Linked DNA regions of Diceros bicornis minor. The protein of the gene in region 1 purifies or fractionates together with the protein of each later gene. This does not show direct contact. Links are inferred from orthologs where the notes say so. Each region holds a gene or a part of one and is shown in the gene's direction. Other genes may lie near its edges. The genes, in order: KRAS, PRDX1, HNRNPA0 and HSPD1.

Evidence for each region.
Region 2: the proteins of KRAS (region 1) and PRDX1 purify together in Homo sapiens (affinity purification with mass spectrometry; 3 studies listed by BioGRID and IntAct, with this or other methods). This does not show direct contact. The link is inferred for Diceros bicornis minor from reciprocal best matches to the Homo sapiens genes KRAS and PRDX1.
Region 3: the proteins of KRAS (region 1) and HNRNPA0 purify together in Homo sapiens (affinity purification with mass spectrometry; 3 studies listed by BioGRID and IntAct, with this or other methods). This does not show direct contact. The link is inferred for Diceros bicornis minor from reciprocal best matches to the Homo sapiens genes KRAS and HNRNPA0.
Region 4: the proteins of KRAS (region 1) and HSPD1 purify together in Homo sapiens (affinity purification with mass spectrometry; 3 studies listed by BioGRID and IntAct, with this or other methods). This does not show direct contact. The link is inferred for Diceros bicornis minor from reciprocal best matches to the Homo sapiens genes KRAS and HSPD1.

What each region holds. Positions count from the first base shown.
Region 1 is NC_080756.1:37,462,771-37,469,802, forward strand, and holds the start of KRAS (GTPase KRas), read left to right. Parts: upstream 1-4,026; 5' UTR 4,027-4,086; exon of another isoform or gene 4,087-4,099; intron 4,100-4,514; exon of another isoform or gene 4,515-4,630; intron 4,631-7,032. UniProt on the Homo sapiens protein: Ras proteins bind GDP/GTP and possess intrinsic GTPase activity. Plays an important role in the regulation of cell proliferation.
Region 2 is NC_080752.1:8,459,708-8,467,629, reverse strand, and holds the start of PRDX1 (peroxiredoxin-1), read left to right. Parts: upstream 1-4,904; 5' UTR 4,905-4,909; intron 4,910-5,076; exon of another isoform or gene 5,077-5,377; intron 5,378-7,922. Other genes in the region: AKR1A1 (aldo-keto reductase family 1 member A1), read right to left, coding at 2-85. UniProt on the Homo sapiens protein: Thiol-specific peroxidase that catalyzes the reduction of hydrogen peroxide and organic hydroperoxides to water and alcohols, respectively.
Region 3 is NC_080740.1:56,395,338-56,402,119, reverse strand, and holds HNRNPA0 (heterogeneous nuclear ribonucleoprotein A0), read left to right. Parts: upstream 1-4,907; 5' UTR 4,908-4,996; coding exon 4,997-5,911; 3' UTR 5,912-6,269; downstream 6,270-6,782. UniProt on the Homo sapiens protein: mRNA-binding component of ribonucleosomes. Specifically binds AU-rich element (ARE)-containing mRNAs. Involved in post-transcriptional regulation of cytokines mRNAs.
Region 4 is NC_080749.1:75,337,883-75,345,147, reverse strand, and holds the start of HSPD1 (60 kDa heat shock protein, mitochondrial), read left to right. Parts: upstream 1-4,256; 5' UTR 4,257-4,348; intron 4,349-5,280; 5' UTR 5,281-5,282; coding exon 5,283-5,456; intron 5,457-7,030; coding exon 7,031-7,265. Other genes in the region: MOB-like protein phocein, read right to left, coding at 2,915-3,079, 3,708-3,710. UniProt on the Homo sapiens protein: Chaperonin implicated in mitochondrial protein import and macromolecular assembly. Together with Hsp10, facilitates the correct folding of imported proteins.

The sequences.
Region 1 (7,032 bases):
TTAAGTCAGGCATAAAGAAGGCCAGTCACCAATCACGTGGCCCGTCAGGAAAATTGTGTCCCATAAAGACCCTTCTTATTGGATAGTGAATGACAGATGCATTCAGATCCTCTCCCTTGGGATGTTTTAAATGTAAGTCACAGAGAGTGTCATGGGAAGCAGAGATAGTGGTAGAAGCTGAGACTGTATGAGAAAGAATCAGAGAGCTACTGATTCAGGAGAATGGCAAAATTACTAGAATGTGGGCAGTACATGCTCGTTAACGAGAGGATGAGTGAGGCACCAGAGCCTGTTACTGGATCACAAGAACTGCTGTTGATTCCTGGAATGACTAGTAGTCCTGGCTGATGATACAGTTTGCTAAAGTTTCCTTATTTCCTTAAAATAAACCCTCAGCATTTGCAGTGCTCTGAACATGTCCTGGCATTTTACATCTTGTAAGATCCCTACTAACACAAGGGTATTCCTGTTATTTTGGCTTTGATTACATCTTCAGAAGAGGGTATCTCCTGAAGGGTCAATATGATCTTCACAAAGCAGGATTAAAAGGATGTGAGCACGTGCACATGTGTATGTGGCTGCCTTCCCAGAAAAGTTAACAGTAGAGGGTAGAAACTTCAGTTACATTGTAGAGCAAGCCTGGAATTACCAAGTTTAAGCTTTTTGTTATTCCCTCTATCTTTTCCCATCACGATCACAGAATGAGCCTGTGTGCTTGTCCTTGGGGAGAGCAAAGAAAGGGAGAGCCAGGGAAACTATTCAATGCAGCCTCTAGGTTTGAAGAAGAGGAACCCAAAAGATAGAAGAAAGCACAGCTGTCAAGAAAAGAGAGGAATCTGAGTATCACATCTAGATCAGATCACTTCTCTGTATACAGACTGCTAACCACCAGTCTAGGATCACCTGATTTGTTAAAAATGAAGATTTCTGGTTTGCTTTAGACCAACTGAATGGAATATAAGGGTGAGGGGCCTAGGAACTTGCATTTTTGTAAGTATGCCAGGTGATTCATGAAGCGCTTTCCTTTGAGATCACTGCTCTAAGCCATGTGTCAAGGAAACACAGAGAGTGTTGGGGAGGAGGCTGCTGGCTTCTGAGAAAGCGCTCAGGACTGAATGGCAGAAAAGCTCCACATAGCAAATATATACATTGCTGTCGGAGTGACAAGGAAGCAGAGAGAACTGTGTGAGGGGAAGCTGGAGGGTAAGGTGTACGGAACAGATAGGGGGATGAAGACTTGCTTTGGGAATTGTGAGCCCAGATGATAACAGAGACCATGTGGATGGATTAGGTTTCTCCTAACGCCAGAATTTTTATAATCACCATGAAAGTGCTATATATTATAATAGCACTTCTCTATATTATAGTCCTTGTAAGATTTATGGAGCCCCAACTACAGGGAGAATATTGTATCAGCAGCTGTCAGAGAAAACAAGAGCTTATCATGTACTTGCAGAAGTTGGACAAAATAAATCTGTGATATATATTTGAGTGACTACAAAACAACATACAAATAAGTGCAAATTCATTCATTTAAGAAAAACCCACTGTGTCCATTATGTGTGGACACTTTTCTAGAGTCCGTAGGGTACAGTTTATCAGAAGGTGACCTGGGGGTGTTTAAAGGCAGATTTTATAAGAAGGTGAAAACAGAGATCACAGAGAATTTAAGGCACTCCGTCTAAGTAAGGATGTGGAGTCACAGAGTTCAGAAGGAGGGTACACAACTTCATTTATTCAACATTCCCCAAATATTTAGGATTTGGGGGAAAGAGAGAGAGATGCAATATCAAAGATGATCTTTTGGGAAGAACTCATTAGAAGAAGACACCTTAACAAAGATTTATAAGTGTTGGAGGAAGCGTTATGGATATATAGTGGACATGTGTTCCAGATAGAGGGGCAGCAAGTGCAAATGCCCCGAGGAAGGAAGAAGCCTGCCTGGCATTTTCAAGGAACAGCCAGGAACCGGTGTGTATGTACAGAAGTGAGGAAGGGAGACGCGTAGGATGAGTTCAGAGAGGTAAGGGGACTTTGCTTTGATGTTAAGCAGGATGGGAGCATGAGTGAGTTTGGAGCAGAGGAGTGAACATGGTCTGACCTAAAAGATACTTCATTTTAGCGGTGTGAACTTGAGCCCAATTTTCTTTTCTTTTTTTTTTTTTTGTGATGAAGATCAGCCCTGAGCTAACTTCCATGCTAATCCTCCTCTTTTTGCTCAGGAAGACTGGCTCTGAGCTAACATCTCTTGCCAATCCTCCTCCTTTGTTTTTTCCCCCATATCCCAGTAGATAGTTGTATGTCATAGTTGCACATCCTTCTTCTAGTTGCTGTATGTGGGACCCGGCCACAACAGCACAGCCAGAGAAGTGGTGTGGCGGTGCACGCCGGGGATCCGTACCAGGGCCGCCAGTAGCGGAGCGTGCGCACTTAACCGCTAAGCCATAGGGCTGCTGGAGCTCAATTTTCAACCTCTCTGATTTTGTTTCCTCATCTATAAAATAAGGTTGCTGTGATGATTAAATAAGATGTATGCGCGAAACATTTAGCAACTACTTGACAAAGAGTAGGCATATTCTTTTCCCATCCCTGTCTTCTACTTCCTGTCCTGTCTGTTCCACCTAGTACCAGGAGCAAGGCGAGGGGGACCCAATAAGCCTTCCAGACTACAGCCCACATAGGGGGTGCGAAAAAAAGGCTGACAGTTGGTGTAAGGCTTAAGTTAACAGACACAGTCGTTGGGATTTAAAATAATTGTTTAACCCATGTTTTATGACATGGACTAGAGGGACACAATTGGAAGTAGAGATTCAGATGGGTGTTTCCATTAGGTATAGGCGTTGGCCTGCCAGGCCTCAATCTTTAAAACTCAATTTACCTTTCTAGGTAGTTTATCAGCGCAGACTCTGGGTATGCCAGCAGTTGTAACTGTTTCATTGTTTAATGTGTTAACTCCCCAAATGTGAACTGATTAATCTCAGTCTTCTAATTAATGTGTCAATGATTCCCCTCAGGTCTAAACTATCAAAGGCACTTCTACTTAAAAATAGTTTGTCTTCTGCTTGTGCCGTCAGGGGCAATAGGTACATTTGAGGTCGCTCTTTAGAGTGACCTGTGATGGCTTCAAAATAGCCATAAAAACAACAACAAATAAGACGAGTGATGAAAGGGTTAGTCACGTCGGTTTGGGCCTGGGGCTAGGTTCCCAACCCCAGTGTTGAGGCTGATAATCACCAAGCCTTGATGAGAAAGCCCCGGGGTGGGGAACTGTCTGCCGGTCTCTCCCAGTCACCGAAGTCGCCTCCCACATTTCATGACTGCGTGTTTATTTACTGGCAGCAAATGACAGTAAATGAATGTGCACAAGTGTAGGCCGACCCCGAGGGGTGGCGGGATTTTCGCAGCTTCCGCGTGCAGACCCGAGAGGGGTGCGGCGGGGTCGCCTCTGGCGTCGCTCAGGTGTCCCTGCGGTGTGCGCGCGACCGATCGCGCGCCGGCCCGGGTCCGAATCTGCGGCTGCGGGTTCGGCTCTGCGGCGGGAGCCTGGGGGCGGGCCGCCGCGTGGGGTCGGCAGCCCCTCCTCCCGCGCCGCCGAGGCACCGCCCAGGCCCCCTGCTCCGCCGGCCGGGCTCCCCGTCGTCCGCCGCCCCAGCCACCCCCTCCCTCCGCCGGCCCGGCCCCCGCTCCTCCTCCGCCGGCCCGGCCCGCCCCCCTCCCCTGGCCCGGCCCGGCCCCTCCTCCTCCCCAGCGGCGCTCGCCGGCTCTCTCTCTTCCCTCTTCCCACACCGCCCTCAGCCGCTCCCTCCCCGATCGCCCGTCTGGAGAGGAATCGAGCACCGAGCGCATCAATAGCTCTGCCCTCTGCGGCCGCCCGGCCCCGAACCCATCGGTGTGCTCGGAGCTCGATTTCCCTAGGCGGCGGCCGCGGCGGCGGAGGCAGAGCGGTGGCGGCGGCGGCGGCGGTGGCGGCGGCGGCGGTGGCGGCTGCTCGGCCAGTACTCCCGGCCCCCGCCATTTCAGACTGGGAGCGAGCGCGGCGCAGGCACTGAAGGCGGCGGCGGGGGCCAGAGGCTCGGCGGCTCCCAGGTGCGGGAGAGAGGTACGGAGCGGACCACCCCTCCTGGGCCCCTGCCCCGGTCCCGACCCTCCCCGCCGGCGCCGGGCGGGGCCGGCGGCGAGTGAATGAATTAGGGTTCCCTGGAGGGGCGGGGAGGGGGCGCGGGCGCGGGCGCGGAGCCCGGGCGGACGGGCAGACAGGCTCGGGGGGTCTGCAGGGGGAGGCGCGGGGCCGCGGCGACGCGGGGAATGAGGAATGGGCGTTGCGGGGCTGAGGAGGGTGAGGCTAGAGGCGGCCGCCGCTTGTGCTGCTTCCTGGACGGGGAACCCCTTCCTTCCTCCTCCCCGAGAGCCGCGGCTGGAGGCGGCCGGGGAGCAACTCGCGGGCCGGGCGGGCTGCCCCTCGGGGCGGTCGGGTGCGGTGGAGGTTACTCCCGCTTGCGCTCCAGTCTCCCCTCCCCCTCGTCGTCCTCCCCTCTCCCTCCCTCCGCTCCCGCACCTCTTCCTCCCTTCCCAGCGCTCGGCTGCCTCGGTCACTGCCTTCTCGGCTGCATCTAGCATCTCTAGGACGAAGGTATAAACTTCTCCCTCGAGCGCAGGCCGGACGGATAGTGGTCCTCACTGTGTAGCGGGGTATAGGGGTAAGAGGGGAGGTCAGGTTTTGGCAGAGCATGGGAAAGTGCTTAGAGACCACTGTTTGAGGTTATTGTGTTTGGAAAAAATGCATCTGCAGCCGAGTTCCTGACTGCTCCCCTCCCCCATGTATGGGCTGTGACATTGCTGTGGCCACAAAGGAGGAGGTGGAGGTAGAGATGGTGGTGGAAGAACAGGTGGCCAACACCCTACAACGTAAAGCCTGTGACTTAGTGAAAAGGAAAAAGTTAATCGTAGAAGGTCTCTTTTGCTTTGTCAAGTTAAAACACACGTAGAAAACCCTCAGAGCAGAAGCAGGGCTTTTTCCTTGCTAGGTGAGTGTAGACGGCAATAACTAAAATCGTATTTGAAGTTTAATTTGCCTGTTCTTGTCCTTTCCCCCATCTCTTCTATATTCCCCTCATCCTTACGCATCTGACCCCCATCCCAAGAGTTATTACAGTACTCCTAAACAGCACTCACACAATTTTTTTAAACTGATTTAGGAGAGGAGTTAATTGTAGCAATTTGCCGGCCAACTGCCTGAAATACTCTGAGGCGTGTGCATACCATAGCTGAAGCCCTGCGCTAGCCTTTTTATATCTTGATATCCATCAAAATAAGAGGCTAAGAACAGAAAGGTATTTTCTGATTTTTACACAACGTACCTGTTACATTTGTAATGGAAAAAAAGTCATTTGCAAAGAAATTACAAAGGGGAAAAGTCTGTGTTGTAATCATCATCTCAGAAGCAGCTAAATGAGTGATGTCACTCTTAGGTGACTAAGGTCTAAAATGCTGACTCGAACATGTAATAGACTATAGACATCAAATACGGTTGATATCAATACTGTTTACTTTGAGACTGCAGCCAGGCACAGGCATACTTGGTTTTAAGAGATGGTAGATGAGGTGATAATTCAGTTTCATGACAAATAAAAGTGAATTTTTTTTTTGCTTAACAAAATGTTAGGTTCTGGTCCCAGTTCCACCCCTTGCTTTTGTATCTTTGGGTGAGGGGACTCTTTCTGGCCTATGATCTTCAGTAAGACTCCTTGGGAAGCCGGTTCTCTCTAGCGGATTTAAATATTACTTGGTGTTTAAAATCCAATTCAAGGATTTTTTTCTGAAACAACCACTGCATAAACAAGTAGACCAAGAAGGTGTCTGTCTTTCAGAATTCACACATGTATGCACAACTAAGCTCTAATCCAGCATCTGTCCACAGTATCACCTAGGCTAGCAAACTTTTTGGTCATCAGGACCCCTTTACACTCTTAAAATTTATTGAAGATCCCAATATGGGGTATGCCAGTATTTACCATAATAGAAATTAAAACTGAGAATTTAAGAAATTTATTAATTCATTTAAAAATAGAAATAATAGGCCTATTACTTAGTAACATAAATAGCATTTTTTTAATGCAAAAACAACTATTTTTCAAAACAATAAAACAGTGAGAAGAGTGCCATTGTTTCACACTTTTGCAAATCTCTTTAATTATATGGCTTAATAGAAAACATCTGGATTCTCATATCAGCTTCTGCATTCAATCTATTGTGATCACACGTCTGGAAAACTCTATACTTGTGACAGCATAAGAGTGGAAAGGGTAAAACATCTTAATAGTATTATGAAATTCTTGGACCTCCAAAACGTCTTAGGAGCCCCATTGGGTTCTTGGACCACATTTTGAGAACTACTGTTCTATGCTATCCAAATTATTTTGCGGGGTGAGGTGGGCAGGGAGCTAGAGGATACATTTTGGTGTGATTCTCCTCGTCTATCCCATTTGCTATGGCCTATATTTAGAATAAAAAGTGAGAGCAAATGGGATAAGATAGATGTTAGTAGTGGCTCCTAGGGTGGCCCCAGATGAGCAGCGAGTAAGGCTGGGTGGTGCAGAATAGGCCAGGGAGCTGTAATGTAACGGTCTGTGATACAACAGTTGTGTAGCCTGTCTGCTCTTTGTGAGAGGGCTCAGGAATAGGGTGAGGCGGTGGTTAGTATGTTATCATTTGGAAAACGATATTATCTTTTTTTTTTTTTTGGTGCCTATTTGGATAATTCTTGGTCTTCAGTAAATAGGATGCTGCATGCATATAGTGTTTATATACAATATCTGCACATTCATTAATTTGGAACTACTTATTCTATAATAAATGAGTGTGCATTTATTGCCATTCTTTCTGCATTTCACTTCTTATTTGTAATACTGTCATGTAGTTGTTGAGGGAAAGAAGATAAAATTAAATTTATTCATTTTATTTCAAAAAGTTTGAAACAACTGATTAAAAAATATTTTCTGTCTTGTGCTGTTAATCTTACAAGTTATCAGTATT
Region 2 (7,922 bases), on another chromosome or scaffold:
CCTGCCCAGGCTCACTCTTCCAGGTGCCCAGTCCAATCAGGGGCATCTTCTGCCCAGTGTGCAGGAGAACACAGGAAGCTGCCATTGCCCCCTGAAACACAGACAGGGAGAGAATGGTGCGGAGGTCAGTGCTGCTGGCTGGGCCTCAGCTACCCACCGGTCAAGACTCCTGTAAAACATGGGCGGGAAAGGGACACAGAGGTGACAGGAGAACAAACATGCTGTTGTGTGCATGTGCCTATGAGCAGAGGCAACTGAGACACGGTGCCCAGAACGTACCAAAGCCAGTAGCTCCTGGACAAACCCTAACTGGACCACCAGCCTGGCTGCCCTTCCTTCTACCAGGCTAAAGGTCTGTATTAAAGAGCTCCAACACCTAAAAACAAAGGCAGAGTGTCTCTCCAGAAGGACCCAGCCTTGATTACATAATGTCTCAAGCCAGTGTAAGACAGGCAAAGGTCATTATGAGACAAAGCGAGACCAGATGACAGAAGAGGCTCAGGAAAAGGTCACTCCTCTGAGGATGAAATGAACATTCCCAGGAGGTTGTCAGAACTACAAAGATTCTGTGAGTCCCTCTCACAGAGATCGGCCATGCTGACAGGCCCGAGTGGGCTCTTATAAGGAAAGTACAGCATTTTTTAGATAAAAAACAGGCTCAGACAGGTGAAGTTACTCACCCCAATCAACATCTAAGAAGTGGCAGAGCTTGGGGCCAGCCTGGTGGCGTGGCAGTTAAGTGCGTGCAGTCCGCTTTGGCGGCCCGGGGTTCGCGGGTTCAGATCCCGGGCCCGCACCGAGGCACCACTTGTCAAGCCATGCTGTGGCGGCATCCCACATAAAGTAGAAGAAAATGGGCAGGGATGTTAGCCCAGGGCGAGTCTTCCTCAGCAAAAAGAGGAGGATTGGCATCGGATGTTAGCTCAGGGCTAATCTTCCTCACACACAAAAAAATGGGGCCGGCCCGGTGGCGCAGCAGTTAAGTGTGTGCACTCCATTTCGGCAGCCCGGGGTTCGCAGGTTAGGATCCCAGGTGTGCACACGCACGGCTTGTCATGCAGCATTCCATATAAAATAGAGGCAGATGGGCACGGATGCTAGTCCAGGGCCAATATTCCTCAGCAAAAAAAGAGGAGGACTGGCATCAGATGTTAGCTCAGGGCTGATTTCCTCATCAAAAAAGAAAAACAAATAAGAAGTAGCAGAGCCAAGGACCCAAGGAGGAGCTAATGGAAAAAGGCAAGAAAAAGGCAGGTAAACACAGACCTATAAAATACATGTGCAATGCCTCACAGTAAACACATGTAAAATGTGCTACAGAAAACCAAGTGATTTCTGTAGCGCAAGGACCATGGAATATTGACATTGGCTTTTAACAACTGGACTCTCCCAAGAGTCAAGGGGAAGGGGAACTAGACACAGGACATCAGTGCAGCAGAAAGCAGTAAATTACAGATAGAAGAAAATTTCCAACTGAGCAAAGCATGTGAGTGATTGGAACAACCACCTTTGGAGAGCTAGGAAAATCAGAAGTCTCCAAATGGCGCAAGAATACTCATTCAGTCAGCAAATGATGAATGTTCCAGGCCTTGTGCCTGACCCAAGAGACACACATATTCAAGTAGAGTCTCGGCTCCCCTGGAGTTCATGTTCTGGTGGGCGGAGGACAGAGGATGTCCAGCACAATGTATGAGAGAGATGACCAAAATCTGCACAAGTGCTGCAAGAAAAGGGGAATCTGGCTAGGATGGCTTCTTGGAGGTGATATCTGAGTCAAGTCAAGTCTGAGTTAAGTCAAGTCTTAAGAAACAGGAGTCATCCAACCAAAAAGCAGAAAGAACACTCACCACACCAAGAGCCAATAATGTAGAAACAACCTTTTCCCGTGAACTCATCAGTACTATAAATATCACTCTCCCTGGATTAACTTCATTGTCAACAGTGCCTTTATAAATATAACCTTTGTTTCCAAGTTCTGAAAGGACATCAAGATTATTACGGTAGAGCAGGTGATAAGACAAGTGATGAATACAACCAATACACTAAAATTGTCTTTCCTCATACTTTTGACTCAGGAAGAATTTTAGAGTCTAGTATAACCTGGTTATGGTAAACATGCTCTTTTCTGTTAAAACAGAAACAAAAATGTTCAATCTGGGCAGCAAACCACAGATGGCTGAGGGCAATACTCTTTGTTATCAAACTTCTTAGGGGTCAGGCAAGCATGTCTGGACTTCACAGGAGGAACTAGCCTGCCAGCTGCCACCAGGGTCTGTGACTAGTTTCCTGGACTTGATCCCCAAACAAGTGACCTATTGGTCTCTCCCCGATTTCCCAGCACACATGGGAGGGCTCTGAAATTACACCTGGGCTGAGAGCTTGAACAAACACCAGCCTGAGGGGAAAAGGAAGAAGAAACCTGATGTCTGCTTCTCCTTTTCTTTTGCTGGTGAAACTGAAAACCAAAATGAGGCTTGGAGGGCAGGGCAGGGATCAAGAGGTAGGAACACCTAAGAAAGATCTGCAAAGAACAAGAGTTCCAAAGGAGGGAACGGAGAGGGTGCAGCACAAGACAGATGTTTGTCTTGAGGACAGGAAGTCATCCTATGACAGCTCTTGACTTCCTCATCTTCTGCCTGACTCAACGGCTTTCCAGCCTAGCCCTGCATTAACAGGCTCTGAGTCTGTCAGGAGCTGCAGAGCTGGACCTCTGGCAGCACTCAGAAACCCGCATGTTATCTTGGGAGAGATTCTAGATATAAAACAGAGAAACTGAGTGTATGTGGTGGGGTAGGGGGTAGTATCAGGACTCAGGTTTTATGATTCCAACTCAGTGCCTGCCTTCCTTCTCGCTGGGGCTCAGTCTTCTCTTCTCAGAGGAGGGCTCTATAGTTCCTGCCTGGACACAGGGAACTCGAAAACACAGGAAAAAGTGGAAGCAGTATTTACATGAGTGTCCCCTGGCTGCATGGGCCTTTCCTCTGCCTCCCATCAATGTCGGTGTCCCTCAGGGTTCTGTCCCCAATCCTCTTCTCACTCCCTAGTTGAGCTCATGTCTTCAGTTACCACCTTAGGCACTGATTCTTCCCACCAGTTCGGTCTATTCGGCTCCCTTTGGACATCTCCAGTGTATGTCCTATAGGCATCTGAGACTCAATGTGTCCAAAACTGTACTTGTCAAATCCAGCAGCAGAGTGCAGAGGAAACAGTTCAAACTACAGGGTTGCATAGACCTGGGTTTGAATCTCAGCCCCTGCATTCTTAAGAGATACTATATCTAAAGCACTTTACACAGTGCCTGATCCCCGCTTTCTTTCTGTATACTCTGTCTCACCACAGACTCAAGACCCTGGACAATGTGTTAAAGCAAACCAGACAACATGTTCACAGCATAATCCATGGGGTCTTAAAAAAAGCCATCTAAATAAAGTATTTCAGTTCATTTCTGGCCTTTCTGAGTATTATCAGATTCTAGTCTTGACAGGTGATGGGGAGGGGAGTACATCTTCTCCTGTAATTCTAAGAAACCAACATGGGCAATGGTGGCTCAGATTTGGTCTGTTTGGGTGAGTTAAAAATCCTGTTAATACTTGTAAATATAAAAAAAGACAGTGTTTGCTCTAAACTGTAATGTAAAACCTAAGACTGAAATAACACTTTGTGTACTTCTTAATGTATGTGAAAATAATTTAAAAATATATACTTCCTAAATCTTTCTCCAGTCCATCCATACTTCCCTCCACTGGCACTATGTTAGCTCTGACCACCCTGACCTGAACCAGGGATCGCTCTGCTTCCAGTGTCTCCCCTCTTCCCACAATCCATTCACCAAATGCAACCATGTGACTCTCAGGCTCAAACTCTTCCAGCAGTTCTCTCCTACCTTGAGGATAAAGTCCAGACTCTTTAGTAATACTCTTCATAATCTGGCTCCCCACCTTCCTCATTTCTCCACCTCCTCATTTCCAGACTCCAGACTCCATGTTCCAGACTTTGCAGAACAAGCCACCACTCATTTGACTCCAGGCCTCTGCACACTTTCCTTCCCCAAGTCTCACCTTTTGCTCGGCTGACTGCTGCTAATCCTTCAGCTGGCACTTTAAATTTCTGACTCCTCCCATATACATCACTGTATTTGTGTGTTATGTTTCTCCCACAAACCTAGGTACTCCTTGAGGTCAGGGCCCATCATCTGTCTGAACTCCTCACTCCCAGAGTGCATGCTCCATACATACATACACATACACTAAACACCCACAAAGAGAGGCAAATGGGGGTGATCTTGACAGTTGGACTTTGGCCAGCTGGAGGGGTATTTGAGGAAGTCACTGCCTCCATCGCCAGCCTCCTTTACTTCTTGGGTAACCTGGAAAGAATCATCTCTGCAAAATATCAAAGCACTTTAGCCACAAAAAATACCAGTGGCTCCAGACAGGATTATGCTAGGATTGCTCCTGTATTTCAGATGACAAAACTTAGACCTTGGGAAAAGTAACATGCCGGAGCAGAGCCACCAACCTTCTTCTAAGGGAGGTCCTACAGCCCTGAGTGTGGACAAGCTGAAGGGAGAAGTTAATTAATAGCAGCCCCAACCGGTGAAGGTTCAGAGTCGATGAAGGTTCAAATTCGTCTCACTTAAAAAAGTGGCAACAGAAAAACATTCTCTGGGGCAACAGATAAACATGCCAAACCCAAGGCAACTGCCTAAGTAAGAGAATTCTACCCGCTCCCGCCACTTCTGAGAAGCCACCTCTCCAATTCCATAGGAAGGACAGAGCTCCTGGAAAAACTATGCCGTTGAGCAAACAAAAAAGATGGGAACTAAAACTTACTGAGCACCTTAAATGTGTCGGGAGCTTTAAAAACTTTATCTCACTTAATTCTCGCTACAGTTCTGATGTAGGAACTCGTTTCACTGCTGAGGAAACTGAAGTCCAGAGAAACTGGGAACTCATCCAAGATCACACAGCGAAGAAGAAAAGTTCAAACCCGAAACCAAGTCTGGCCGCCTCCAGAGGCTACGCTCTCCGCTCTATCTAGGGAGAGAAAGATGGGGCAGCAGCAGGAGGAACTCACCTCGGCACGAGCCCAGAGCGTGAACAGGAGAGTGTGAACTCGGCTCAGCTCGGCGCCCTGCTAAGGATCCAATGGGCCTCAGCTTCCGGGAATGGTGGGCTGCAACGAAAGTCACCGGAAAGTGGAGGCAGGGATCAGGCTTAAGTCTGGCGGTGAAGAGGCTGCTCCTCCCAGAGGAGGGACGGAGGCCGGGCGTTCAGCCGAACTGGCCGTGGTGGACCCCGCCTCTTACCCCCGGAAAAGAGCTCGGGGGTTGGGGTGGAAGTGGTGAGCACGCCAGACTCGCGAGGCTGTACCATCCCCGCCCCTGGGTGCTGGTGGTCCCACTGGGACCAGCACGGACAAACGAAACCCCCAAGTTTGGAGAATGCGCCTGCACAGGAAGCATGCGCCTCTGACCACGGAGGGGGCCCTGGGGGCGGGGCCAGGCTGAGCCTCTGCTGGCCCACAGTGCACCGCGCGTGGTGGCCACGCCGCTCTAGGCCGTTGGAGCTCATTCCCCTGCCGCAGGGAGGAGGCTTCCTGAGTGCCACGTTTGGCGTTCTTCTGGTGTCTTGTCCTGCAGCGCTGACTGCCCGGGGTTTCCCTCTGTGGGGGAAGAGAGAGAATCCCCCTCTGCCCTTTCCCTTTAGGTTCTTATGGCTGGCCAAATAATTAATAAGATAGGTTAGTAGGAGAAAATAATACCAAGTTTAATAACATGTATACATGGGAGAAACCGGGGACACTGAGTTTCTCAACACAATAGCAGAAATTCTCTTGTTAAATACCATCTTTAGCTAAGAACAAAGGAGGATGTTGAGGGTAGGGGGAGTCAGTTCCTAGGAGATTACCACTGAAGCAAGTAAATAAGAGTAAGGTTATTATGCAGTTTTAAGGCCTCACGTTCCACATTGATAAGTTTCTAGAAATGAGGCCATCCCCCCCCTTCCCAATACAGAGAGAGAGATACCTTTACAAATGGAGATTTCCCTTATAAATGTAAATGTTTGTCTGGCAACTCCTTGCAGGGCCATCTAGAGAATGTGGCCAGAGAGACAGAATTTTTGATAAGATGGGCTTGTTGGTGACTTTCCTATTGTAACATCTATTTTACATTATATTACAGCCATCAGATAGAAGATCTGTTCCAGGAAGGAGTTACTATGTCAAATTCTTTAGGCAGTTAGTGGGGGAGGTCAAATGTCCCTCAGAGAAAACAATCAAGGTAAAGAGATATATTTCAGGGTGACCAAATCTTGATCTCCCACATCCCCATTCTCTCCATTAGAGTCGGGTTGGCCAGCTGCCCAGATTTTATCTAATCTTATTTGGTCTGGCAAACTGAGGCCTAGAGAGCAGCCACAACACAAAGGCTGACCATAACAAGGAAGACCTGGGGTCTCCGGACTCCAGGACATAGAAAGTTCCTCGTCTCTCTATCTGGTCGGTGGACCCTGGCCACGGCTTTATGTGCCAAGCACTGTACCAGGCTATAAACATGATTTTATTGAATCTTCACAGCAACCCTGGAAGGAGGATGTTCTTTTCAATTTTATTTCTTGTAAGCCTTTATATGGAAGTATAGCATACATACAAAAAAATGCACAAATCTTAAACGTAACGCTCTGTGAGGTTTTTTTTTGCAATGTAGCTACCATCTAAACAAAGATAGACGTTACCAGTACACTGGAAGCCTCCTGTGAGGAAGTTAGGAATGGTATTCACATTCCATTTTACAGATTGGGCAGACTCAGCAGGTAAATTAGCTTGTCCAAAGTCAGACAGGTATTAAGTTAGAGATTTGAGATTTGAAATAGCCCTTGCCGTTTCGGCTGAGAGATGTCTTGAATTTGTGTTTTCCTTGGCAGGAGTTGGAAAGAAGCAGGTTTGTCCCGGTGTAGCCCTGCCTTTCTCTCCCCACACCTTGGTCTTCCCCCGTCGCCCCAGGCGCTGCTCTTCTCTTTTTTTACCCTCCCCCCCCCAATTCCTCACCACTGTCTCCCCAATACAAATGGTGTCCTGAGGGACCAAGTGCCCAACGTTTCACACCAGATATCCTCATAATGACATTCAAATTTGGCTTATGTGATCAGAATTTAGGATCCTTCAAACTCAGCCCAGCAAAGGTTAACCATCAATAGACACATCCTATGTATCCCATCCCTCCCACTATCTTCTGCAGGATCTGATGGACTGCCTCAATTTTTTTTTCTTTCTTTCTTTTTTTTTTTGTGAGGAAGATCAACCCTGAGCTAACATCCATGCTAATCCTCCTCTTTTTCCTGAGGAACACCGGCTCTGAGCTAACATCTATTGCCAATCCTCCTCCTTTTTTTTTTCCCCCCAAAGCCCCAGTAGATAGTTGTATGTCATAGTTGCACATCCTTCTAGTTGCTGTATGTGGGACGCGGCCTCAGCATGGCCGGAGAAGCAGTGCGTCAGTGCACGCCCGGGATCCGAACCCGGGCCACCAGTAGCGGAGCACGCGCACTTAACCACTAAGCCATGGGCCAGCCCTCAATTTTTTTTTTCTAGTGAGTCTGACTTCTTAAAAGTCTGAAGGGCAATAATCAAGTGGTGACCTTGCCATCTGACGAACTGCTGAGTCATTATAACCAGCTCCCTCCTTCCCCAGCCCTGGGGATTTTGCTCTTAATTGTGGCCACAAGGATCGTTACAAGCAAGGCACAACGCTGGCCCTCCAAGAGTGTTGCCCTCCGAGAGTTTTCAGAGCAATAGTCATCAGATTGATGGTGTATTGTTTTCGAAAACAGATCGGCTTGAGAACACACCACTCCTTGGGGCCGGCCTGGTGGGTAGCGGTTAAGTGCACGCTCTGCTGCTGTGGCCCGGGAGTTCCCAGG
Region 3 (6,782 bases), on another chromosome or scaffold:
TTTAAAATCTACTCTCTTGGCAACTTTCAAATATACAATACAGTATTGTTAACTATTATCATCATGCTGTACATTATATCCCCAGGACTTATTCATCTTATAACTAGAAGTTTGTACCTTTTGTCTGGTCACTTCTCCTAGACTTGGGAAGCTATCCTTTTTTCACATCAAGCCCTCCTCCTTTGATGTCCCCTCTCAAGTGAAGGAAACAAATATAAATCCCTTCTCAAAGCCTGGATTTTGCACCTGAGGCAAGGGAATACACAGGCAGTAGAACAAGATACAAGTAATATCTTCACAGATTAAATAGGTCTGTGTATTCTGCTGCCTCAGGAGCAACTTGTAAAACTAAGCCTCCATGTGCCTATTTTTTTTTTTTTTTTTACAAAAAGCATTTTATTGAGGGCATTTCTCTTAGATAGCCAAAGAGGGGAAGGGGAGAGAGGCAAAGGCCTCTGAGTGAAAAAGGGTGAGAGGAGCCCCAATCTACATTTTTGCCATTCTGTTCAAGTATGGGGTTCAAATTAAGTTCAGAATTAATTTGATTTGGTAAAATAAGCAATGTGACCTTTCACACATCATCATGATGGCATAAGATTCATACGCAAACACGTCATTATTGTTCCTTTACAATATCAATTTAATTGCTTCATAATATTCTTAGAGAGAATATTTAGTTCCTTTTTTATGTAATTGGTTAATTGGGAGCAATTAGGTAATTTCCAATTTTTTTCTAGTATAAACAGTATTGAAGTGAACATCCTTGTAGCTAAATCCTTACACAGATCCTTAATTATTTCCTTAGGATAAATTTCCAGAAGCATCATTTCTGGTTCAAAAGGATGGGTCAAATTTTAACTTTTTTTTTTTTTTTTTTTTTTTTTTTGTGAGGAGATCAGCCCTGAGCTAACATCCGCCAATCCTCCTCTTTTTTTTTGCTGAGGAAGATGGCCCTGGGCTAACATCTGTGCCCATCTTCCTCCACTTTATATGGGACGCCGCCACAGCATGGCTTACCAAGCAGTGCGTCGGTGCGCGCCCGGATCCGAACCAGCGAACCCCGGGCCGCCGCAGCGGAGCCCGCGCACTTAACCGTTTGCGCCACCGGGCCGGCCCCTCAAATTTTAACTTTTGATGTGAGTTTTTAAGAGTCCACTAGGAAGATTGTACTTCATCACAGCTGGCAGAGAGTGCCTTTTTGGAAGATACCTTGAGTACATAAAAATGGAATATGTATTAGTTTGCTAGGGCTGCCATAACAAAATACCACAGAATGGGTGGGTTAAACAACAGAAATTTATTTTCTCGAAGTTCTGGAGGCTGGAAGTCCAAGCTCCAGGTGCTGGCAGGGTTGGATTCTCCTGAGACCCTCTTTCCTTGGCTTGCAGACGGCCACCCACTTGCTGCCTCCTCACGTGGTCATCCTTCTGCGCATATGTGCCCTTGGCGTCTCTTCCACTTTTTATAAGGACACTAGTCATATTGGATTAAGGCCCCACCCTAATGGCCTCATTTTAAGTTAATCACCTCTTTAAAAACCTTATTTTTGGTTACAGTTACATTCAGAAGTACTGGGGGCTAGGGCTTCAACATATGAATTTGGGTGGGGGGCGGGTGAGGGGAGACACAATTCAGTCCATAACATAATCCTAACTGCAAAAAGACACTTTTGGGTGTAATAGAAAATTGACCAAAAAAAAACCCAGAGTTGCTGCTGATAGTTTTCCTTTTCTTCTTCAGTTCGTTTTTTCCCCCTTTCTCCTGTTCTCTTTCTGTCTTTTTCTTTTTCTAAGTATAATTTAGGTACGGTAAAATAAACCCTTTTTAATATGCAGTTCTATGAGTTGTGTAACCACCACATTCAATTAGGTTTTTGTAATCAAGCTTGTAGGAGGGATGGAAACCAAAAGTTGCCTAAATTTCAGTTACATTTTTACATTTCTTTGTTTTGGAAGGCTGAGACACCTGTAAGTAAGGTAAAGCCAAGAAACAAACTCAGGCAACGAAAAGTAGAATAGGAAAAAAAAAAGTTTTTCTCCCTGAATAGTCTGAGGGGTAGGAAATTGCATCATTTAAGTGTTTATATAACACTCTTATTCACTATCCCTACCTTTACTAATCTAATCTCCGAAAAGAATCTAACATTCCAATTATCTTGCATTTATCCTGGCTTCCTAAATGTCTCTCAAACATGCTTGTGTTGTCTCCCATCATCCCTACCCCTCTTCTATATGCATGGCTTATACTGGACATATGCCTCTATGAAGCTTTCTTGTCAATAGAAATTAATGGATCCCCAATTAGGTGGTGTGATTATTTTAAAACAACGTAGGAGAAAACTATTTCTTTAAAATTTAGTTTAGATGGGAAAATAAGTTATGGTCTTATTCTCTTCAGAAATTCATCTTTTACTGCTTTAACATTTTTTGGATGACTCTAAAGTAGATTTCTTAAGGTCTAATCTCTTATCCGAGCTATAGTCTTGGGCATCCCAGAAAACAGGGCCCCGTGAATATCCCAGTATCATCTTTAACAACCATGTTCATCATCTCCCCCTACTCCCTCCAAAATAGTTTCTTTTCTTAGATTTTCTAATTCTACCCTGCTGCAATTTTAGACTCCCAGATTTCAAACATTGGAGTGCTTTTATTTTCCTCATTCTTTGTCATCAATCAGTTAGCAAAAGCTGACATATCTGACTTGTTTGTAACAGGGTAAGAGCATCCTATTGACCTTCTCTTTTAATTTTTCAATGGCACTTATCACTATCTGACATGCTATATACCATTCTCATTTATTGTCTGCTTCTCCCCACTAGAACATAAGCTCCATGAGGGCAGAGATTTTTGTCTATTGTTTACTGCCATATTCCCAGCACCTGGTATAGTATTTGTTGGATAAATGGAGCACTTACTATGGCCAGCACAGTGCTCTGCGTTTACATGCAGAATCTCATTTAATTTTTACCACACTTGGAAGGTGTTTTATTGTTCTGACTTTCAGATAATAAAACTAAGTTTTAAAAAAGGTTAAGTGACTTGCTCAAAGTCACACAACTCGATGGTCACAGGGTTACTAAGTGGTAGAGCCAGACTCTAGTTTGTCCCCAAACCCTGTAGCCTATCTGTATACCTTCGGAATAATATTCAAACTCAATCTAAAATTCAAGATATTCCATATCAAAGACCCTTAACCTATCTTACCTCTTAATATTTTCTATCAAAAACCTCCTGCTCCCGTCAAACTGGTCCGCTCACTGCCCCTTGAAACTTCTGTAGCTTGTTTCCTCCTGATTTTGCTCAAACGCCCTATAGAAATCTTATTTAGCCTTTGACTCTGAGGTTCAGTGCAACTTCCACCTCTTTCACAAGTCATTCCTGACTACTTCAGGATACGAGGGATTCCTCTTCTTCAATATTTACCACATGGTTTTGGGGGTCACGTAATGTCTCATATTATGTGCCCCTCCATGTATCTTGCTTGGCGCACGAAGGTGCAATAAACGGAAGCCGTTATAATTCTCATGCAGTCCCGCCTGAGTGAGGGTCTGTAAGGCAGTTATCAGGGTGGATGATATTTGTATATAATGTTCATGTGTTTAACTTCCTCGGCTCCCAGTCTGATATAAAAGGCCTTTAAAAGGCAAACGTTTTAGTCGGGAAGGAAGCAACGCATAGATAACGTAAATTAAACATATAAAGTGGTGTGTTTACTGAGGTAAAATGAAAATGTCTGCTGTCGGAGTGCGCGAAGGGCGCTGAGAGGGGCGTCGCGGGAGGGCTTCGCGGACGGCCAAAGAGCGGCGGGCTCTCGCGCCACACCTCGGTGGGAAAGGCTGAGTCGGTTTTGGCACACGGTTGTCCTTCATAGTGCCTGGGGCTCGCTTTTGCGCAGGGCCACGTGCCAATGTTTTAGTTTAACTGCGCGTGGGGCCCACCGTAAACGGTTACTAACCGCCTTCCCCGACCACGGCTCTACCCTCCATCTTTGTGCGGACGGGAGGGGCGAGGACGCCAGGTGTAGCGGCCGGGTCCAAACGCGGCGGGTAAATCCAGGCCCCCATCCCCAACAGCCAAGTTTTCAAAAAGCCCGCGCGTGACGCCCCAGGCCGCATCCGTTGGGAACGGCCCCCAGCGCGCCTCCGCTCTTCCCTCCCCCGCCCCCAGCCCCGCACCAAGCCGCGCGCGGGAGGGGGCGTGGGGGTGGCATGCAAGCTCTGCACACAGGGGACGCCGGGGCCGGCGCGCACCGGGGAGCGCGCCCGTCCAGCCGCTGCCGAAAACGGAAGTGGGTGTGAGCGGATCGCGGTGATTGGCTGAACTGATATGTCTCTCAAGGGGCTGGCGCGAACGCCACTGCGGAGTTGGGCCATGGGGTATGGCATGGGGAGGGGGACAATCACTGGGAACAGCCGCGAGGCTGGCAGGAAATGAACCGCGGAGGTGTGCGGAGGGCAAGGAGAGTCCCCCGTCAGGGCACCCTGGGGAGCCCGGGAGTGAAAGCGGGGCGCTACAACCGGCGGCCGGAGCCGCGGAGGCCGAGGGCTTGAATAGACTGCGGAGGGCGGGGAGTCCGTGACCGAGAGCGGCGCTGCGGCGCGGTAGGCGGGACTAAGGAGAGCGAGGCGGGGATTGGCTGACAGCCCTGGGCTGCCGTACGTCGGCGGTGACGCACGCCTCGGGGAGGGTGCGCGCGCGTTCAGCGGCCTCTTTGTGTGGTGTCCAGATAGGGGAGCGGAGGTGGCGGTGGCGGTAGTGGCGGCCTTGGTTGTGTTCCAGTCTTCTCGGCTCGCCCTCTAGCCGGCACCTCTCCCCTTCCCTCCCCCTTCCTTCTTTCCTCCTTCCCTCCCCTTCCCTTCTTCCCTTCCCCGTCGGTGAGCGGCGGTGGCGGCTCCAGCAACGGCTGGGCCCAAGTTGTGAAGAGGCCTCAGGCAACGATAGCGGCGACGGCGAAACCTCGGAGCTCGCAGGGCGGGGGCAAGGCCCGGGCCTTGGAGATGGAGAATTCCCAGTTGTGTAAGCTGTTCATCGGCGGCCTCAACGTGCAGACGAGTGAGTCGGGCCTGCGCGGCCACTTTGAGGCCTTCGGGACTCTGACGGACTGCGTGGTGGTGGTGAACCCCCAGACCAAGCGCTCCCGTTGCTTCGGCTTCGTGACCTACTCCAATGTGGAGGAGGCCGACGCCGCCATGGCCGCCTCGCCCCACGCCGTGGACGGCAACACGGTGGAGCTGAAGCGGGCGGTGTCCCGGGAGGATTCGGCGCGGCCCGGTGCCCACGCCAAGGTTAAGAAGCTCTTTGTCGGGGGCCTTAAGGGAGACGTGGCCGAGGGCGACCTGATCGAGCACTTCTCGCAGTTCGGCACCGTGGAGAAAGCCGAGATCATTGCCGACAAGCAGTCCGGCAAGAAGCGCGGCTTCGGCTTCGTGTATTTTCAGAATCACGACGCGGCAGACAAGGCCGCGGTGGTCAAGTTCCACCCGATCCAGGGTCATCGCGTGGAGGTGAAGAAGGCCGTGCCCAAGGAGGATATCCACTCCGGAGGGGGCGGAGGCGGCTCCCGGTCCTCCCGGGGCGGCCGAGGCGGCCGGGGGCGCGGCGGTGGTCGAGACCAGAACGGCCTGTCGAAGGGCGGCGGCGGCTACAACAGCTACGGTGGTTACGGCGGCGGCGGCGGCGGCGGCTACAATGCCTACGGAGGCGGCGGCGGCGGGTCGTCCTACGGTGGAAGCGATTACGGTAACGGCTTCGGCGGCTTCGGCAGCTACAGCCAGCACCAGTCCTCCTACGGGCCCATGAAGAGTGGCGGCGGCGGCGGCGGCGGCGGCAGCAGCTGGGGCGGTCGCAGTAACAGTGGACCTTACAGAGGCGGCTATGGCGGTGGGGGTGGCTATGGAGGCAGCTCCTTCTAAAGAAAATTTAAAAATGTCTGGGAGCGGCTATAGGGGTAGCTCTTTTCGACAGCCCGACTAGGGTCAATTCCTAAGTCCCTTTCCCTCCCACCGCCTTCCCCATTTGCCCTTGGGGGAGCCTCTTTTGAGGCTGCTTACTCTTGGGGGTGTTGCCCTGTTTGCCTGCCACCTCTTGTCTCTCCCTCTGAAGATGGACTCGGCCCCACACACACATTTTTGTGTTACAGTCATTGATGGACTCTATTTTTTTATTATTACTTGGACCTTGGTCGTTTTTATACTAGCAAAACGTCTTGTTTTAATTTGTGTTTTTTTGGGGGGAGGGAGTGAACTTGCTGATTCTGTAGCAAAACCTGGGCGGGGGTTGGGGTGGGGGGGTAGTTTACTTTGTTGTAAGGACTTGATACCTGGCTACAGCGTTTTCTATGAAATCTACTTGGATCCCATGCCTGAAATTTGGAAGTATATGTACAAAAATCATTTTTACGTTTTATTTTTAATAAATCATTGTGTTTGACCGTACATGTCTAACATTTTTTTTCTAGGATCCATTCCGTACCGTTTAAGGGATATTAGTTGAAAATTTTTCGTGTTAATTCTCAATTCTTGATGTGTACTTAAGAGAAACTTTTAAAAGGTTTAAAAGGTCCTGTGGTTTTTTTTTTTTTGTTTGTTTCCCTGCTAGTGACTTGTTGAATTTTATCCCTTACAGGCAAAACTTTTGAAGTGGTGGATGTGGCTTTTTAAAATCTTTAAAGTTTCTGTGCATCCATCTCTTGTACTAAGCGATTTGCTTATCATCTTGACATAGTTGGTCACTACTTTCTATGAGAATTTACTTCAAAGTATGTACTGTGTAGTTCTAAAGAAA
Region 4 (7,265 bases), on another chromosome or scaffold:
AAAAAAAATAAAGTACCATGAAAATTTGTATTTTCATGAAAAATAGAATTTTACCTATTTTACTTTGCTCCATTATTTTTGTTGAACAAAAGGTAAATGACAACATACTGTTCTGAAACGTGGTTGCACACCCAATGCCCTTATTTTTGACCCCAACCTCTCACCTCAAAACTTTTCCCTATTAATTCCGAATATAATCTCACGAAATCTAAAATTATTTCTTTAGCAATTCTGCCAGATAAGCATCACACAACTACTTCTGTGGTACAAAAAAAAATTCTCCCATCCTTCTGATTTTAGTAGGTTATGAATCTCAACTCATTTGCTTGGGTCTTCACAACAGAATCAGGGAATAATGAGAAAGCCATGGCTTTTGGACTAGATTCCTAACTCTGCAATTTACCAGCCACATGGCCTTGAACCAGTGGCTTCATCTCTTCTGAGTCAGTTTCCTCATTGGTGAAACAGATGGAAATCTGTGCTTACAAGGTTATGACGTGCAAATCTAGCTGTGCTGGGACACAGGAGGAAACTGATGACCCACTTGGTTGTGTAAACAGAGCTTTTCATCATAATTCTTATATCTAAATATGACAAAAATCAAGCTTTAGTATACCAAATGGGACTCACATACACATAAATGTTAAGTGCACATACCTACCACTTTACCCATGGGGACATGATCAAAAGATGAGACCATTATTCCATGCCATTTACAACTTCATTTAGATTTCAATTCCACAACTTTTAAAAGACATGATCACAGACTAATTATAAGAAACTAAAACTAGAAAAAAAATGTGACTGCCAAGACAGAACTAGCTGGTAGCTGATGTAGTTGAGTTTAGGGGTTAGTAATTAACTCTGGTGTAGGATTGTCTGGGTTCAAATCTTAACTCTCCTGAGCTGCTATAGCTAAATCAAGCTATTTACCCAGTTCTGTTACTCAGTGTCCTATTAAATCCAGTGAACTGTATACTAGATACCTAATTGCCAGACACCTTACGTACCAACCCCCCCCAATACCACAAAGGTTCCTTTATCATCACATTTGAAATAATGTGTATCAAGTGCTTAGTATTCTGACAAACTAGCAGAGGCCATAAAGGATTAAGTTTTCAACAGCAGTATCCATGGTGGATGGCCCATATCCAAATCCTGCTTTGCTACTTCCTACTGTGAGACCTTGGTTATTACTTACCCTCTTTGCGCCACACCTTCATCAGCAAGATGAGAATGACAGTATCTAGCTCATAGGGCTGATGAAAGATTAAACCAATTGATACATGCAAAGTACCTACAGCAGTAGTCAGTACAGGAAAATGCTTCTGAAGGGTTAGCTATAATTACTAGCACACACTGCCTACCCTGGCATACAGAAGGCACTCAGCCAATGTTATCTAGTATACCTTGCCTTGGATTTTTTGCCAAGTAAATTATGTAGTAATATTAAGTTTTTGTAAATATAAAGCATAAGAAACAAGACATATAAGACACTAGATTCCATAAATGAAGAACTTCAATATGTTTGTTATAAGTTAGAATGTTGCTACTTGACTTTACTTTCTTAAAATATGTAAGTGTAAATTGATGGCTTTGTACCAGCATCAAATATCTATGTAATAAAGCTAAATTCAAAGTGAAAATTGGAAACCTTGTTACCCAGAATTCTCTGCAGAAATTACTTGAAAAAAGAAAAAAAGCATAAAATAGAGAACTCTAAAACCATCTTAAATCACTAAAAGATTAACCATTCATTTATATATTTTTATTTGGAAATGTTTATATCAGTACAGTGAAACTAAATTTTAGAGACACTGGATGTCATTAGTTTGGATATCATTAGTTTATTATAAAAGAGAGACATGGAAATTATTTACAAGATGAAAGATTTCAGTACTTCAATGGAATGGGCAGCTTCACGTGATGCCATTTCAATAGTGATTCATTTCAGTCTACATACTTTCCAAGAATGTCACCATCTCTAAATAAGAAATAATCCTGCAAATAAAGAAACCATTAGTTAAGAAAACTAATACCAAATATGTAACTTCTAAAAAAAAAAAATCCATTACGTTTACACACCTTGTCGTCTAGAACTACTTTGGTGCCTCCATACTCTGGGAGAAGAACTTTATCTCCCACTTTCACACTAACTGGTTGAATCTCTCCACCCTTAAAAAAATAAGAATGTTTATTAGTAGAGACATCTAATTTACCAAATATTTACACCTAACTTTCATTAATCAAATATGCTCACTCAAATCAAATGTTAAAAAAGAACTTGGTGGCCAAGTGATATAATCTATACAATTGTAGTTCTTCACTCAAAACTTATCATTGTAGAGTCACACTTTGAAATGAGGCACACACAGTGGCTTAAACTAAAACCTGATTTCACTGTAAAAGTTCAAGGAGTTATACTGGGAAAACTAACTTAAACTAGCTTTTAAATTGTTAAATATTAACATAACCCATCGACTAAGTGAAATAAACAAGTTTTAAAAACCGTATACATAACAGTCTGTATAACTTCCTTCAATACACAAACACTTAACAGAAGTTTTCTGAATTCGGAACATACATTTTTTTTTCCATTCAATTTCCTTTGCTCCCAAGTATAGACTTGGGGAGGAGACTGAAGCAGAGTGTCCACTCTTCCAAGCCTTCCTATTCCTAACTCCAGGATTCCTTGCTAGAACTTTCTTAGAGGCATGGACAATGCAATTAACATATTTGACCCTAAGAGCATTTACTATGTATTCTGGTTGACACTTTTATAAGTCTGAAATGTAACCAATTAATTAGAAAATGACCTTGAAGATAACACAAGCTACGTAAAAGCCTATTTTTAATAATAACCAATAATTACTTTTTCCCTCCACATAATAGTTCCATTTTAGCCCCCATTTACCTTTCCTTTAGAGCCCGATCCAACAGCCACTACTGTTGCTTGCAATACTTTTCCTTGAGATTTTTCTGGAAGCATAATGCCTCCTTTGGTTACAGTTTCGGCTGCACTCCTTTCAACCAATACTCGGTCAAAGAGGGGAAGAAACTTTCTAAATGCCTGTCCTGCCTGTAGAGAAAGAAATGTCGGATAACACAAAAACAACATGTAATTATATTCTAAACAGGCAACACCACTGTAAGCCTTCTGTATCACAGGCCACGTGTGGCTTTCAAAGATCATGCCCAAACTCAGATTATTTACCCAGGAAACCCACTTGAAGGTTCTGCTCTGTAGCCCGAGTTTAATTTCCCATTCCCCATGTGTGTTAGGGGTCCTTGCTGCTCCTCTGGTCAGCAGCCAGACCACCTTTAAGGGCAACCTTAGTTTATTCCAAGGTCAAATACTATCCTTCCTCAGGTTTTTCTGGGAATTTTCAGCAAACACTGCAGTCAATCCCTACGCCCGGGGCCATGCTTTCTCCGACATATTACACACCCCCCAGCGCCCTGCAACAGCCGCAGGCCGGCCGCCGCGCGGTTCGGGGTTCCCGGCCCACAGGCCTGCAGCACGCGCGCGCGCAAAGAGCCCTCGGCGCGGGGAAGGGGCGGAGGGGCCTCGCCTCTCCAGGGTCCCGGCGGGCGCCGCTCACTGGGTGACCCCCACCCCTCCGGCTAGGCCCAAGAGAACCGTCCGGACTCCCGGTGCGCCTCAGGCCGACCCGGGACCGCCACCCCCCCGCTCACGGCGGCCTCACCATGACTCCGGCCGCCGCAACCCACACTCCGCTCTAGCGCCGCCGTCGCAAGCAGAGACCCGTAGTCCGACCCTCGAGACACGTGAACTTGGGACAAGGCACCCGGCGCGCAGGCGCGCTCGCCCCCGGCCCCCGCCCCTCCCCGCGCGAGGGGGCGGCCGCAGCAGCGCGCGCCGCGATTCGCCGCGAGGGCCCTGCGCAGGCCCCTGACGCCGGGAGGCGGAAGGAAAGAGGAGCCCTTTCTAGGCTTTTCTAGGCCCCCGCCGAGGTGAAAGTACTAGCCCTCCGCCCTCCTCCCGGATGTGACGCGGTTTAACCCTTAACCCGCAGGGAGCGCGGCGCCCCCAGAAAGTTCTGGAACCCAGCGCAGCCCGGGAACCAGCATACGCCGGCCGGAGAGGGCCGAGTCCGCGGGCCTGGCCCGGCGCTGGTAGGGAGGGGCGGGCTGGCCCGCGGCGCATGCAGATTGCCGGGCCTGCCGCCGGCGAGGGCGGGAGCCGCCTGCGCGCGCGGCGCGGCGGGGCGGGGGAGTGGCGGAGGGAGGGGACACGGGCTCATTGCCGTGTGCGCCCTGCACTCTGTCCCTCACTCGCCGCCGACGGCCTGCCTCGCCTTCCGCACGCCGCGCCGCCGCCCCGCAGGTACGCGGCCGCTCCGCGCCGCCGCGCCCAGGGCCTCGGACCCCCGAGCCGGCCTCCCCCCGCTGCAGTCCTGCCTGAAGTGGGCGGCGGGGGAGAGCCAGGGCCTCCTCCGGCGCCGCAGGCCCGGGCCCCTTGGCCAGGCCTGGCGGGTCCATGCGCGAGCCCATCACGTGCCGCGTGGAGCCCTCGCCCGGGCAGGGCGCAGGAGGGAGGGCTTGCCCGGGAGTGCGTGTGGAATCGGGGGAGTGCTCTCGTGGGCCCTCCCATGCAACCCACTCCTGGACTGCAGGACCCCGGGGAGGGTGGTCTCACCCGCGTGGGAACCGCGTTTGGCCCCGCGGACCGCTGGGGTACGGCACTTCGACCCTGACCTTGCTCGGGGCGTCCTGATGGAAAGACACTTGGGGTCGCGCCGAGTGGGCCAGGCCGCAGCCCCCTGCATCGCGGCCTTGCGGGCTGCTCTGATACAGTAGCCCCGAGAGGATACATGAAGGCACATTTCACTAAGCGGAATTTTACGCCGTCAGGCATATTTGTACTCTCCTGGTCCCTCGGGTTTATAACCTGCCCGTCTGCTGCAGGCTTGGTTTTTTTAGGGGCGCGTGTGGAGTGGCTTTGCTCTGAAGGCCGTTTTAGCAGTGAAAGATTAACTCCTTTTCAGCGGCAGGGGTAGGTGGCCATGGGGACGAAGAGGGGCCTGCTTTGTGCTAGTGCTCTAGGTCAGGCGTGGAGGCGGCCTCTTCAGGCTCGTCCTGGTACCTGGTGTTCTGCAGCTGTGGCGCTTTCCGTGGCCCGGGTGTAGTGGCTGGCAGAGGTCAGACCAGCTCACGTCTAACACTTTTTATTCTGTTGCACAGGTGTCATTTTTGTGCTGTAACGCACCACTGGGAGTGCCACTATTGTACTGATGGTCTGCTTTTTTTCCCACCCAGAAATGCTTCGATTACCTGCAGTCCTTCGCCAGATTAGGCCAGTGTCCAAATCACTGGCTCCTCATCTCACTCGGGCTTATGCCAAAGATGTAAAATTTGGTGCAGATGCCCGAGCCTTAATGCTTCAGGGTGTAGACCTTTTAGCCGATGCTGTAGCCGTTACTATGGGGCCAAAGGTAACTGTTGTTATTTTGTTATACTTTATAATATTGTTAATTAAGGAATAATATTTTACTGATGAGAAGTCACACTGAACTGTTGAACAGTATTTTAGTATCCGTTTTTGAGAAAAACCAGTTTACATATGTGAGTTCTAAATTATTGGTTAATTTTTTTGTCTTTTTTTGCTTAGATATAATGGTCTTAAACTGCTCCTGCCAAATTTTCGAAACTTTCTTTTTTACAATGTGTGATGTAATCGAGTGGTAACTAACTCATAGCTCAAGGTGGATTCTTAAACTCAGTGTAGAATTAATCTTGCTTGCCTGCTTGAGTTAAATTTTGGATTCTTTCCCAGTAGTTAATACCAAGCATAGAAGGAAGACTATAAGTACGTCCCATAATACCTCAAGTATGTGCTTTTAGGTGCTAGTTTTACCTAGTGTTTTTCTCTTGTCCGTTCTGTTCTAAAGCACATTTAAAATTCTAAGTCTTATTTAACGTTAAGAGATTGGTGAGCGAGGGGTGATAATTTGAGGAGGCTTTTGAAGGTGGTGCACAGTTGAAGACCGTTCAAATATCAAAGTAATCCAAACTGTATAGATTACAGCATTTGCATGCCTCACAGGTAGCAGCTGTGGTTCAAATCCAAAAGCTGCCAATACTGTTTGCACCATGTTTGAGATTTAATGTTGAACGATCCTGGAAGAGTGCACTATACTTACCTTGCTGTTAATAGTTTATCTTTTTTTTTTTTCCTTTATTTTTTTCCCCCCAAAACCCCAGTAGATAGTTGTATGTCATAGCTGCACATTCTTCTAGTTGCTGTATGTGGGACACGGCCTCAGCATGGCCGGAGAAGCGGTGCATCGGTGCGCGCCCAGGATCCCAACCCGGGCCGCCAGCAGTGGAGCACACGCACTTAACCGCTAAGCCACGGGGCCGGCCCGCTGTTAGTAATTTAGTAACTAAACTTTAGACTTTAAAAGTAAGTTTTCACAATACTTTCAAAGATGGCAGGCACAGGACAAAATTTAAGTATAAATGATGTGAAGAATATTCTGGAATTTAATTATAATCTACCAGATTGGTATTGGTTTATCTCATGTTCTTGTTGTTTTCTAAGAGGACACCTTTTAGTCTCTAGGATTTTTATCCCCCATAATACCTTATTCAAAGTTATGCAATTGGCAACAGAGAGGTAATTTTGCTTGTAAGAACATTGATGAATTTGCCCTTGAGATTCATGCTGCTGATTTGATAAGATGACAACTTGCATTGAGGCTTTTGAGTGATTGCCCCATTACAGTCACGTGCCATTTAACAACTGGGATATGTTATGAGAAATTGTTGGGCGATTTTGTCATTCTGCGAACATCATAGAGTTCTTAACACAAACTTAGGTAGTATAGCCTACTACACACCCAGGCTGTGTGAAACTAATCTTATGGGACCAGTGTCATATATGCAGTCCGTTGTTGACCGAAACGTCGTTATATGGCATGTGGCTATAAAAACTGCTCGTTCTGTTTTAAGTTAAGTAGTACTTAGAGTGCGAGTCTGTTCCATTTTTTTTCCTCTGCAATTATAGGGAAGAACAGTGATTATTGAACAGAGTTGGGGAAGTCCCAAAGTAACCAAAGATGGTGTGACCGTTGCAAAGTCCATTGACTTAAAAGATAAATATAAAAATATTGGCGCTAAACTTGTTCAAGATGTGGCCAATAACACAAATGAAGAGGCTGGGGATGGCACCACTACTGCTACTGTTCTGGCACGCTCTATTGCCAAGGAAGGCTTCGAGAAGATTAGCAAAGGTGCTAATC